Linked DNA regions of Arabidopsis thaliana. The protein of the gene in region 2 purifies or fractionates together with the protein of the main gene of each other region. This does not show direct contact. Each region holds a gene or a part of one and is shown on either strand. Other genes may lie near its edges.

Region 1 (6,165 bases), on a different chromosome or scaffold from region 2:
TTTTTAAAAGGAAAAAAATAGATTCTACTCAATTTATATCAATTAAGTTAGGAATTTAAAATAATATTTCAACTGATTTTATGTTAGTTATAGGAAAATAAATATATATGAAAAAACTAAAAGTGTTTTCTTTCTCCAATCATCTTTTTTTTTTAAATATCATTTCATTATGTTCATTTTATTAAAAATCAGTTTGAACCGTTAATATGAAATTTACGTTTTCAAATAATTATCCGGTGTAAATTTTTTTTTGGTGTAATGGTTAACTAAATATCCATTAATACTTCATCACACCATATATGAAGTTTGATTTTCATAGATTACAAATTATTGAAGATTAATGGAAACGATTTCTATCTAGAGATTTTAGTGTGGTGCATAGAACCGTATGTCGTAGTACAGTACCATCTGTCAAACTGTAAAATTGTACAAGCATCGATGTAAAACTATCGGTTGTGGAGTTGACTACGAAAACCATAAAAAGAAAACTCAAAAAATGATTTGCTAGTCCTAAAAATTATTTGTAATATATATTCAAATAATAATGTATCCAACAACATAGCAACTTCCGTTCAATTTTTGAAAGAGGAAGAAATTAACGTATAAAATTTGTATTTTCTCTATAAAATTCATATTCGAATTTATTTTTTCTTAGACATTTTAAATTGTTTTTTTCTTTTTTTAAATATTGGAATTATGTTGTGTAGCCCACTTTAATTGTTTGGGTCCTCTGTCTAGGCATCGTCTGTCTGCTTTCCATGTTTCTGTCACCATAATTGACATATCTATTTATTAACAATCTTCATATTTTTGTCACGGTATACTGTAAGTTTTCTTTAACCACATTTTTTTCATCAAATTTTTTATCGTTTGGCTAAAACTATAATGACCAACCAAAGTATATAATTTTTTAAAACGTTACATATGATTTTTTTGTCAAAGTTACACATGATTATTGACAAAGAACTACACATGATAATGCCAACCATTACTTATAAACAAAATATCCAGAAAAAAAAAGAAAGAAGAAGAAAAGTAGTCAGTGAAAAGGACAACATGTACAATAATATTCAATGGTTAATCACGATGGCTAAAATGATCCAGCTCACGTGATTCTCGTGGATGATGTAATTACAAAACGACTTTAGACCCACTAATCGTACACTAACATATGATTATTGACATTACATAATAAAATATCTCTACTTCTTGCCAGTTTTCTTACAAGACATTGATAAACATGTTACATGTCACAGAAACATTGTATCAAGTAAAAAGTTTTACTTTATCAAAAAAGAAAGAAAGTAAAAGGTTCGAGAGGAATTAGTGAAGATAACCTAATTTAATACCTTAATGTACTTCCATAACAAGTCGATTTTTTGGATTTAACAATTATTTTGGTTTTCAATTTTTCACAATTCTGTCTTCATCTTTCAAGCGATCCTCTTTGCGCTAATAACAAGATGGAGAAAATCATGATAAAATTTAGCGATGAGGTTTTATCCTTTTTCATTTTCTGTTTTATGGTTAAGTTTTGTGATTAAAGAATTAGAAGTTTTTTACAGGATTTAGACTATGGTTAGAGTTTACATTTGATTTAGAATTGTGTGACTTTCATATAAAAATAATGACATCTACGAAATTACGAAATACAAATATGGGCTTATTCATTATTGGGCCATACAAGCCCATCGAGTTTAGTATTGATCCTCTAATCAAAAAACGTAAACAAATAAGATAACAGAAAAACAAAAACAAAAATTTCTGCTTTGAAGAAGAAGAGTCGATCCATAATCGCCACTTTCAGATTTCCAGATTCTGGGGAAACATCTCTAAACTCTTCAACGATGGCGACTGAGAATCTCACCGATAAGAATGTTGTTTTCAGAAAGCTGAAATCAAAATCCGAGAACAAGGTTAGGGTTACTCAATTTTCGATTTTGAATTTCGTTCAGATCTGGAGCTTATACGACCTAAATCTTCCGAATTGATTTATGATTTTGCTTCGGTTTTTAGGTTTGCTTTGATTGTAGTGCGAAGAATCCAACATGGGCTTCTGTTCCTTATGGGATCTTCCTATGCATCGATTGTTCTGCTGTTCATCGAAGTCTAGGTGTTCATATCAGCTTCGTCAGGTAAAACTTTGAATCTTGAGGAACACAAATTTGAACTCTTTAGGCTTAATTTTTAGCTTCATGGACTTGTAGCAATGTTTCACCTTCTGGCTAGGGTTTAAGCTGTGATTAGGAAGATGTTGACTTATTTTTTCCTGTTGACCACTCTATTTATAGCATTTCATGTTGTTGTAGATCTATTATAAGATCATATTGTTTTTGTGCAGGTCAACGAACTTAGACTCGTGGAGTCCTGAGCAGCTAAGAACAATGATGTTTGGAGGGAACAATCGAGCTCAGGTGTTTTTTAAGCAACATGGATGGAATGATGGTGGTAAGATTGAGGCTAAGTATACTTCAAGAGCTGCTGATATGTATAGACAGACTCTTGCTAAAGAAGTTGCTAAAGCCATGGCTGAAGAAACTGTTTTACCGTCGTTATCCTCTGTTGCTACTTCTCAGCCAGTGGAATCATCTGAAAATGGGTTTACTTCTGAATCTCCGAAAGAGAGTTCTTTGAAGCAAGAAGCAGCTGTTGTCTCTTCACCAAAAGCTTCTCAGAAAGTTGTTGCTAGTACGTTTAAGAAACCTCTTGTTTCGCGAAAGTCTGGGAAGACTGGTGGTCTTGGTGCTCGTAAGCTTACTACTAAGGTAACGTTTTTCGTTTTTATAAAGAATTATAGCTTAGCTTCTCGGTTCTTGGTTTTGATTAGATTAGTATTTGTTGTATATGTAGTCAAAGGATAACCTCTATGAGCAGAAGCCTGAAGAACCTGTACCTGTGATTCCTGCTGCTTCTCCAACCAATGACACATCAGCAGCTGGATCATCATTTGCCTCTCGATTTGAGTACTTTGATGATGAGCAATCTGGTGGGCAAAGTGGCACACGGGTGCTTAGCCATGTTGCTCCACCAAAGTCATCAAATTTCTTTAATGAATTTGGAATGGACAGTGCTTTCCCCAAGAAGTCAAGCTCAAGCTCATCCAAAGCTCAGGTAAAGAAAAGTTTCATTTTTAACAGAACTGAAGAAAGAGATAGAAATCAATTCTCGATTCCTCTTTGTTTACCTGTTTTCTTTTTACTTAGGTTGAAGAAACAGATGAAGCAAGAAAGAAGTTTTCAAACGCCAAATCGATTTCCTCTGCCCAATTTTTCGGAAATCAGAACAGAGATGCCGATCTTGACTCAAAAGCTACCCTTCAGAAGTTCTCGGTATGTCCTTAACCGATCAAACTCTATACTAGTTTTCTTTAGTCTCGTTGTTCATACATGCCTAATGCGATTACAAATCTATCAGGGTTCAGCAGCTATTTCAAGTTCTGATCTTTTTGGCCACGGACCAGATGATTCCAACATCGATATCACTGCAAGCGATCTCATCAACCGAATTTCTTTCCAGGTAAAGTTCTGAAGTAGAATCAAATTCTTCAGCTTTTCTTAACTCTGCTTATAAGGTTTTTTTATTTGACTTTGTTTATTATTGGGCACAGGCGCAGCAAGATATGTCATCTATTGCTAACTTAGCTGAGGAAACAAAGAATAAGCTGGGAACATTTGCCTCTAGTATATTCAGTGATCTTCAGGATAGAATGCTGTAAGAAACATACAAAGGATCTTGTCTTTTGATTTACAGAGAACAAATTGTTGGATATAAATGTCATTTTTATTTTTGGTTTGACTTTGTAGTTGAAAGAGTGATTTTTGAGGTAAATTGTTAAATGTGGAATTTGATAATTTGATGTGGATATGGTAGAATATGTTACAGTATTATGTATGGTATTGAACATCAATTTATTCCCTTGATATGGTTGCAAAAAAAAAAAAAAAAAAAAAGAACTCAGCATAAGAGGAAGAACTTATTACCAATCAAAACTTTTGTTGAAAAGAACTAATATTGAAAAAGGAGAAAAGTGAGCAGATGGATTTTCTTTGACCATATCGGCATTTCTATTAAAATAGTTCCATTTTTATTATAATATAATTAAATTTTGATTATGAGGATTTTATATTAAAAGTTATATTTATTACTGAATAAATTTAATTTATAAGACTAAAAAGGTGATTTTACAAGAAAGTAAAATATATAATTTTTTTAACTTGAAAGAAATTTGGTCAACAATATAGTAAACCGTTAAACTTGGAAAACTATATTGAAAAAGATATAGGAAAGCTATATTTGGGCAAACAATATAAAGAAAACGTAAGATCAACTTAGGCTAATGAAAACTTTAAATTGGTCAACAATATAAAGAAGATAATAATATAGAAATGTTAGTATTTCCATTATTTGTTAAAGAAATGATTTAATTTAGCTTTTAGAAACAAACTGACAAAAAAATTGATGTGGCATACAGTAACTAGAAATATTTTTACAATATTTTTTTTTGGAAAAAGTAAATAAATCTAGATTTTAGGAAAAAAATGATAAAAGTAACTGTATATATTTTTATTTTGTAAAGTATATAACACAAATAAAAGCAATATTAAATTTCAATAAATTGATAAACAAATTAACAATCAACTTGCGTTTTTCCCTATTGTTCTCCTTCCTCCTTCAACTATTTAACCCAAAAAAATAAAATCTGGTTTTGTCATTTTTTTTTTTTTTCGACAGTTCTGGTTTTGTCAATTAAACTTGTTTAAAGATAAAAAATATAATTGGTCAAAGAGTCTCTGAGAATCCAAACTTCCAAAACCAAGTGCGAACCATGGTTGAGTTAACCAAATAACCTAATCAACGTTTAATTACGCTTATTTTATCTGTGGAAAAGGTCAAAAGAAACCCTAAATCCCCAAATAAATGGCGGCTTGATTTTCCCTCCCAATTCAAACCTTCTTCTCCACTCCAATTCTCATCTTCCCTCCAAATCGTTTCGATTCGCTCTCAGATTTCGAAAATTTCCCAACTTTTTTGGAGCGAAACTCAAATTTATCTTCTTCAATTACTTACAGATCGATTTACGAGATGCAGAATTCTCCCAAAACTAAACCCTAGCTTCCACTTCTTCCCCTTTCCTTCAATTCTTCACAAAATCCGTTCTCGGTTTTGTTGTTAATGGCGGAATTTAGTGACCCACCACCATCTAATCTCTCTTCTTCTCATAAATTAACTAAACCCAACCAAACCCTAGATGAGTCTTCACCAACCGCGCCAATTCGAGACCTTGTTACTAACTCGCTCTCTCTTTCCTCACCGATTCGTCAGATTCAAGCCCTTTCTCCGGCAAAACCAGACGGGTCTTCCTCTTCTCCGCCGGACAAAACCCTAAATTTCAATCCAGAGGAAAACAGAGATGTGAACCCAGATGAGTCTTCCTCTTCTCCGTCAGATAAAACCCTAATTGCGCCACCAGCTCAGATTTCGCCTGTTAGCAACAACAATCATCTCCGGATCACGAACACGTCAGATTCGTATCTTTATCGTCCACCAAGGAGATACATCGAGTATGAAAGCGATGACGACGAGCTTAATAAGATGGAACCAACAAAACCTCTACAGTTATCATGGTGGTATCCGAGGATTGAACCCACCGGTGTTGTAAGTTTCTCTTCTTCCCTTTTTATCTGATTTTGTTTTGGTATCCGAAATTGAATCATTTTGGATGTTTTATACAATTTCTTCAGGGGGCTGGGCTATATAATTCAGGCAACACTTGTTTCATAGCTTCTGTGTTACAGTGCTTCACTCATACTGTGCCTCTTATCGATAGTCTTCGTTCATTCATGTATGGAAACCCTTGCAACTGTAAGATTTGCTTATTTGGTTTGATTTGAGTTTGGTGACTTGTTTCGTTCATGGTTTTAATCTTATAGTTTCTTTGGGTTTTCAGGTGGAAATGAGAAGTTCTGTGTAATGCAAGCTCTTCGAGATCATATTGAGCTTGCTCTGAGGTCTTCAGGATATGGAATAAACATTGATAGATTTCGTGATAACTTGACTTGTATCCTTTTTTAAGTGTTTTTTGTTTATATATGTGCATAATTTTGTGTTGGAGGTTTCTTTATATGAATTGGTTATCCTTAACCAATCACAGATTTTTCATCTGAT
Region 2 (7,557 bases):
GGGATTATTCCGGTGGTGGGATGTTCAGCTAGAGATTCAACGGAGGAGATGATTAGATTAGCTATAGGATTTGCCAAGACGAAGGGAATTTGTAAGACTGGAGATTCCATTGTGGCTTTGCACAAGATTGATGGTTCATCTATTGTCAGGATAGTGAGCGTCGAGTAATCCAATTCTTAACTTTTTTTGTTTAACCATTGTTTTTGGTCACATGATAATAAAGTTTTAAACATAATTTTCAGTTTCATTATTTGTCGTAGTTGTTGAAATTTTGAATAACACCCAAACAAACTAATAATTTTAAATAAAGTTATATCACAAGTTTTGTTTTGGCCTAAACTAAATTTTCTCTTAAGCATGAAGTGAATCTGCATCAACCCCATTATCAGAATCAAGCCACTGCATTTCCTGAGTCAAGTCTTTAATCATCATATATATATCTTGACAAAGAGGATTTGATCGATCTTCAGCATTAAAGGCCTTAACTTGATTTCTAATCTCAATCCAGCTCCAACCTGGAACTTTCTTTACACCTCTCTCCTTCATCATCTTCTTCACACTTGCTTTCTCTTCCCATTTCTTGAGATCACTATACATATGAGACAACGAAACATACGTAAAATGATCTTCTGGTTCAATCTCTAGCAAATGGTTAGCCACTTGAGTAGCCATTTCGATCTCTCCACAAGCCCTGCAAACTCCAAGGAAAGTTTTCAATACCATTGGATCAGGATTCAACGGCATTGATTCGATTAACTCTTTCGCTTTGTTCACGAGCCCTGCTCTGCCTAAGAGATCAACTGCAGCTGCGTAATGTTCCATTCGAGGTTGGATTTTGTAAACCGGTTCCATTAAATTAAGCAACTCGAGTCCCTCTTGTATTAAACCGGTGTGGCTACAAGCTGTAAGGATTGCTGTGAAGGTTACATGGTCTAGCTTCACGTTTTGGTTACACATTTGGGAGAAGAGATCAAGAGAGACTTGGCCTAAACCATGTTGAGCGTATCCAAGAATCATTGCGTTCCAAGCTACTGTGCTGTGTTTGGAGGAAATCTGTTGGAAGCATTTTCGTGCACTCTCGATTATGCCACATTTTGAGTACATCACGATCAGAGAACTGATTACAAACTCGTTTGATACGAAGCCTGATTTAGTGGCGAGCGCGTGGATCTGCTGACCTAATTGGAGTGTTGCTAGGTCCGAGCATGATCTGAGAAGTGCAGAGAAGGCGTAATCGTCGACTTTTATCTCTGAGGATCTTAAGTAGCTAAAGAACTTTACCGCATCCTCGCTGAGACCCTTCTGGGCGAACCCTGTAATGATCGAATTCCAAGAGATAAGATCCTTAGATTTTAAGGATTCAAATAGAGACAGAGCATCTTCCATGGTGCCTGTAGGAAACTGAATATACATAGAGATCAATGCATTTGTTGCAGAAGTTACTTGTTCCAATCCCTTCTTTATTACCATACCATGCAAAGACTTCCCAAAAATTTGATGTTCTTCGCCAGAGCAAGCGCTTAACAAGCCGGTGTAAGTATAAATGTCGGTTTCGACCCAATGTCTTTGCATTTGAATAAACAGTTCAAAAGCAGATTCCTTTAGCTCATGTTTAGAGAAACCTGCAATCATCGAATTCCACGAAATCAAGTCTTTTGAGCCACCCAAGCCATCAAAAACTCTCTTTGCATCTGATACTGACCCACAATCTGCATAAGAGCTGATCATCGCATTGCATATAGTGATCTCGTGTTGAAGCCCGAGTTTCAAAACCTTAGCATGAACTTGCTTTAACAAGTTACAAAACATAGGATCATCAAGCAAAGTAAGAAGTGGAGCGAAAGTGCCAGCATCCATAGTCACAGCAGCTTTCATCTCCATCAAACCCAACAACCAAAAAGCAGTCTTGATATCTCGCACTTGCACAAATCCAGCAATCAAAGCATTCCATGAAACAGAGTTAGGCTCTGAAATCTCCTTAAAAGCCTCAAAAGCATCTTCAACTCTTTCACATTTCGCATACATATCAACAAGCGAACTTCCAACATACACATTACACTCATAACCTCCCTTTATAACCAAACCATGCACTTGCTCTCCAAGATCGAACCTTTTCACAGAAGCAATCCCTTTCAACAACCTACTAAAACTATACCCATCAACATCAGATCCAGATCTCTTCATACATGTAAATAAACACCATGCATCCTCCAATTTCCCACAGCTTGTGTACCCAGAAATCATTGTGTTCCAAGACACGGAATCTCTCTTAGGCATTTCATCGAACAACATATTGGCATAACCCAAGAAGCCAAATTTTATATAAGAATCCAAAATTCGATTGGATACGTATATATCTGAGATGGAACCACATTTAATAGCGTAACAGTGAGTGAGTGAAAGCTTTTGGAAAGAGTTTAAAGAGCTCTCTAGTAGAGAGGCTAACAACGCTTTCATTCATCTGTTTCTCTGTGTTCATATGATGTCAACATCAAAGAGAGTTTATTTTATTTTATTTATGTATAAAAATATATTTTAATTATGCTTTTTTTTGGTCAAATAATCAGTTTATTATTAACTTATATATATACCTGAATTTACCTAGTAATGGATTATCAAGTGGCTAGTTAGTTTGATAAATTTGTGTTAATAACCTTATGTGGATTAATAATGGCTTAATTAAGTAAATCAAAACACATTTGAAGTTTGAGTTATTTGTAAAATTGTATTTTTTCAGTTAGACTGGAAAAAAATACCTTAGTTTTTTTTTTTTTTTTTTCTAGATTTCGGTCATGGGTGTCACGACATAAATTTATATATACATATATATGAAGTATATTTGAAATCTATTTAAAAAAAAAAGTCATAGATGAGTCGATTTACCAATAGAAACTACAAAATTTACCTTTCAACACTTAAAAGGCTTCTTAAAATTTTGATTGATGCTTCATTCGTTTATCAAAGAGACATACGGCTTAAAAGTTAAAAACCACATGGCGAGTCTAAATCCGTATGGCAGAAAACTATGGACTTTTCTATTAAATTTTTAAAACAAAGTTATTATATATTTAATATTTGGTGTATTTCTTTTAAATGTAAAATGTGTTGCAAACCAAAAATAATAATTATTACAATGGTTTGTAGAGATGTTGCTATTGGCTAAAAATAATTTGTTGTTTTTTTATATTTGATATTTTAAAAATTCTGGTAATGATATTATATTGTTTTTTTAAAAAAAATTAGTGGATTCGACCTTAAACTATAATAACCCAAACTAGCCGTTGCAAGTGCATTTCCGAGGAAGACTAGCCGTTACGCTCTTATTCCTTTTTTTTTCTTTTTCTTTCTTTCCTTCTTTTTAATCCTTCCCTCAAATATCTTTTTTTCCCTTCAAAATCATTAAAACCCTAAGCGACGCTGTTAACACTTGCGAATTCAATTTTCAAAATCACCGATCCTTAGACTCCATGGCGTCCAAAACAGCGGCTGCTAAAGATATCATCACTTTACACGGATCTGCTGCCATCGTCAGCGAATTCTTCTGTACGTATCTTCATTTTTTCTTAGACTCAATTTCAGATATCTTCTTCTCGATTTGATGTTTTTTTTTTCCTTCTTCTTCTTCCTCCAGGTTACGCTGCGAACAGGTGAGAATTGGATCGGAACTTTTCAATTTCAGTGTCTGGAAATCTTCGATTCTGTGATTTTTTTACAGTGAAATTGATTCGTTATTGGTTTCTGGGTACAGTATATTGTATAATCGTGCAGTTTATCCAGAGGAAAGTTTTGTGAAAGTGAAGAAATATGGACTTCCGATGTTGCTTATTGAAGATGAATCCGTCAAATCTTTCATGTCTAATCTCACTTCTCAGATCTCCGGTAATTTTACAAATGTCAGACTTTTATTCAATGATTCCTTTTGTGAGAGAGTCTGAGACTTGATTTTGTTTTTGGTCTAAAGAATGGCTTGAAGCTGGGAAGTTGCAGAGAGTAGTGTTAGTGATTATGAGTAAAGCTACTGGTGAAGTCTTGGAGAGGTGGAATTTTCGTATTGAGACTGATAATGAAGTTGTTGACAAAGGGTCAGTTTTTTGTTTTTAGTGTTGATACTTTCGCAAGTTTGTTTGTTTTCTTTGATTCTTTGTTTCATTATGTTATCTTTATGGAACTTTTTAGTGTGTCGAGGGAGAAGAGTGATAAGGAGATCATGAGGGAGATTCAAGCTATTATGAGACAGGTTGCTTCAAGTGTTACTTACTTGCCTTGTCTTGATGAAACATGTAAGAACCAATTCATAGGAACTTTGAGTGATCATCATTTCGGAACTAGTTTGATTTGGATTCTCGTTTTTGATTGTGCATGTTGTTTGTATTAGGTGTGTTTGATGTATTGGCGTATACGGATACTGATGTGGCTGTTCCATTCACTTGGATCGAGAGCGACCCGAAGTTGATTGCTAATCCACAGATGGTTAAGTTACACGGTTTTGATACCAAGGTAAGGAGGAGGAAGAATTTTGAAACCTTTATTTATACACTTTGAAATGTCTAAGTATTTTGGTGGTTTCATACTTTGCAGATTCACAAAGTCGACACGCTTGTCTCATACAAGAACGACGAGTGGGATGAAGAAGAGTAACAGAAGTCGGGACACACGTATGCAAGGCTCTTTGTTCAGCTTGCGTTTATCTCTTTGGGAGTTCTCATTGTTCTTAAAGGCACGTGAATCCTTTATTCACACACCTATATCGTTTTCTCTTCTGTTTTTTTTCTTTTTCTGAATTGTATGAGAATTGGAATCCTGTACTTGTGTTGTGTTTTGTTCAAAAGTTATCAGCTTTTTCATTGTCCCTGTCTCTTGTACTGAACCGTTTTGTTTACCAATCAAACTTTATGGCTCTTGGATCAAAAAGAGATTTCTCAATAAACAAATCAAATTCCTCTGATTCACAATGGCATGTCAAAAGAGGTGCATATGTACAGTGACTGATGAAAATAAAGTATTTTGGATCAAAAAAAGCTATTTATAGTGACTGATGAAAAATAAAAGGTTTCTTCTAGCCTTCTGTAGTAACCGTTTTCTCATCTCATTCCTCTGTATAAGCGACCGGATTGAAGCTCGTCCATATTGTCTATGTTTTGAAACGCGTCAAACTCTCTCAGACATGTCCATCCTCGTCGAGCCAAGAAATCTCGGTAATCTTCTTCGGTGTAGAATATCTTCTCCTCTTGATGGACTGGTAACGGATCAGATTCATCATAGTGGCACACTCTAACGGCTATCCCTGAATTCAAATGGATATTGAGAAACCTCTAACCAGAGAGTATTCGATGAATAGCATAGAAGAAAGAGTGGATTTACCTTCATCAATGCGGAGTATATAGTTCCCTAAAGGCATGTCTCGGTCAAGAGAGCGAATAACCTGTTCTTCATCTTCTAGCCAAAAAGCTCGTCTTGTTCTCAATCTAAACGCGGATCTGATAGCTTCCTTAATTGCTTCAGCAGTACCATCAATCCCAACTCGTCTTGTGTAATCTCCAAATTTCACCGTTATGATCCTCCCAGCAAATGGCTGACCATCAACGCCTGCTTCAAACATGACAACGATTAGTAGTAGTTGCCATAAAAGTTCAAAAGCTTAATAAACAAGGAGAGGCTCTCTCTAAGTTAGATTGTCTGGTTACTTACCATTTCCAGGGGTGTCTCTCCAATTCCAAGGAGGAACTCCATTTGCTGTGATGGGATCAGCAGCAATGGGGAGAGGAAGACCATCATGATCAAGCTCCGTTTCAAGATTTAGCGTTGGCCTGCCATTAGCTGCATACAGATACAACTCATATCAAGACTAAAGTGACTAACACTACTTCCACAAACCAAACAAAATCGGCTTCACATTATCACTAACATTCTACAATTTGGTATGAGTTCACTTTTATTTCACTGAATTATAAGAGAATCATAAGTTGTTGCACAATTGTTTACCCAAAGTTAGGACTGATACAACCATTTCTCTCAAAGTAATTCCCCAACTAAAAAAGATTTCAACACCACCATTTATATATACACTCAAAGATTCAATAAATGTGAGATCAATACCTTCAACAGATGTAAATGAAATACCAGTATCTTCAAAACCTACAAGAAGATAAAGATAAAGATCAATTTTAGAAGAAAACCCAAATTTACTATAAAAAGTCAATCTAGTTTAACAAACCAAATCTACAACTTTATAATTAGCCATTAATGGTCAAAAGCCTCTTTAACCAGGTTTAGCACTAAAAGAGGAACAAAACTAAAACCAAAAAAGATCAGTCTTTATCTTCTCAATCCAAATCTAAACCAAAACCCATTAAGAAATTTTATCCAAACCTGCAACAAATCAATCAGAATCCCCAAAACCAAGCTAAAGATTGTACCTTTATCTGTAAATTGCATAAAGGAATCAACTTTAGCAGAAGATGGTGTAGTAGTAGCAGGACTCTTATAGAATGCCACTTTCTTCTTTCTTTCTCTGAAAATATCTTCAATCTCATTGTAATAAGACATCTTCGTTGATCCTCCACTTGTTGCTTTATCTTCATGTTGCTTAGCTTTCTTAAACTCTTTCAATATGTTCCTCCACTTGTCCGTACACATAGATGGTGATCGATCAAACCCTTTCTCTCTCATTTTCTTAGAAATCTGTTCCCAGAGATGTTTGTTAGATTTGGAAGTGTTGAAAAGATTGTCCATTTCTCTCCGTAATGAGATTAAGGTTCGAGTCTCGTCTTGTGCCCATGTCTCTGCTCGTTTCTTTGGTGCTTTGATGATCTCATGATCCTCTCCTCCACTGCTTTCTCCGAGGATGATCTGGTGTGGCTGTAGATCTCCGTTTGATGTAACATCGCCGATCATCATGTTTATGTCCCGTGAAGGATTGTTGTTATCGGAAACAAACATGTTTTCTCCAAGGAAGAAGGAGAGATAGCAGAAGATGTCAAAGATTAATATAAAAGGCGCGTGAGTCTTTAATTATTTGTCAAAGCTTATCTTAAATTTACATAAATGATCTCTCTTGTTTGATTATTAGATGAAGAACAAGAACAACCCAAAGATGCAAACTTTTAATAGATCTCCAATAATAAAGATAAGAGTGTTCAACAAATATGAAATGGAACATATTTTTATTGTTTAAAAAAAAAAAGGTTCTAGAGATAGTTGAAGATCATCTCCATTGAACCGTGGAGACTGAGTCATTCAATCATAGAGAAGAGAAAGGCTCAGATGGAATTTTATACCTAGAGAGTTAACTTAGGGGTCGGCTTCGAACAAACAGCACACAAAAGCTCTAAACAAAACATTTCTTCGTATTCAGTGTCAATGATGCACCGACCACAATGATAACACCTCTGTATGCAAAGAGAACAAGCACGGCATTCCTCAGAACCTTTCTTTTTCCCTTTACAATCTTCTGCTGGACAGTCATACACAAGCTTAAAATTTTGACACTTTGGGCACATCTCAATATCTAGTGCCCGGTCATCATCACAGGACACACAAGCTTCTCCTCTATGGTAA

What was found. The genes of interacting proteins can lie anywhere in the genome.
Region 1: the proteins of MAD2 (region 2) and AGD9 purify together in Arabidopsis thaliana (affinity purification with mass spectrometry, with the first as the bait; one large-scale study listed by BioGRID). This does not show direct contact.

The regions. Positions count from the first base shown.
Region 1 is NC_003076.8:18,967,500-18,973,664, reverse strand, and holds AGD9 (ARF-GAP domain 9), read left to right. Parts: upstream 1-1,683; 5' UTR 1,684-1,847; coding exon 1,848-1,916; intron 1,917-2,016; coding exon 2,017-2,135; intron 2,136-2,341; coding exon 2,342-2,765; intron 2,766-2,850; coding exon 2,851-3,111; intron 3,112-3,203; coding exon 3,204-3,329; intron 3,330-3,414; coding exon 3,415-3,516; intron 3,517-3,607; coding exon 3,608-3,715; 3' UTR 3,716-3,929; downstream 3,930-6,165. Other genes in the region: UBP21 (ubiquitin-specific protease 21), read left to right, coding at 5,173-5,655, 5,742-5,862, 5,948-6,058, 6,152-6,165. UniProt on the Arabidopsis thaliana protein: GTPase-activating protein (GAP) for ADP ribosylation factor (ARF).
Region 2 is NC_003074.8:9,499,765-9,507,321, forward strand, and holds MAD2 (DNA-binding HORMA family protein), read left to right. Parts: upstream 1-3,291; 5' UTR 3,292-3,467; coding exon 3,468-3,543; coding exon of another isoform or gene 3,544-3,547; exon of another isoform or gene 3,548-3,631; coding exon 3,632-3,647; exon of another isoform or gene 3,648-3,748; coding exon 3,749-3,879; intron 3,880-3,961; coding exon 3,962-4,082; intron 4,083-4,176; coding exon 4,177-4,280; intron 4,281-4,375; coding exon 4,376-4,497; intron 4,498-4,578; coding exon 4,579-4,638; 3' UTR 4,639-4,906; downstream 4,907-7,557. Other genes in the region: AT3G25960 (Pyruvate kinase family protein), read left to right, coding at 1-168; AT3G25970 (Pentatricopeptide repeat (PPR) superfamily protein), read right to left, coding at 352-2,457; AT3G25990 (Homeodomain-like superfamily protein), read right to left, coding at 5,082-5,284, 5,362-5,586, 5,689-5,817, 6,097-6,135, 6,417-6,939; AT3G26000 (Ribonuclease inhibitor), read right to left, coding at 7,278-7,557. UniProt on the Arabidopsis thaliana protein: Required for the execution of the mitotic checkpoint which monitors the process of kinetochore-spindle attachment and delays the onset of anaphase when this process is not complete.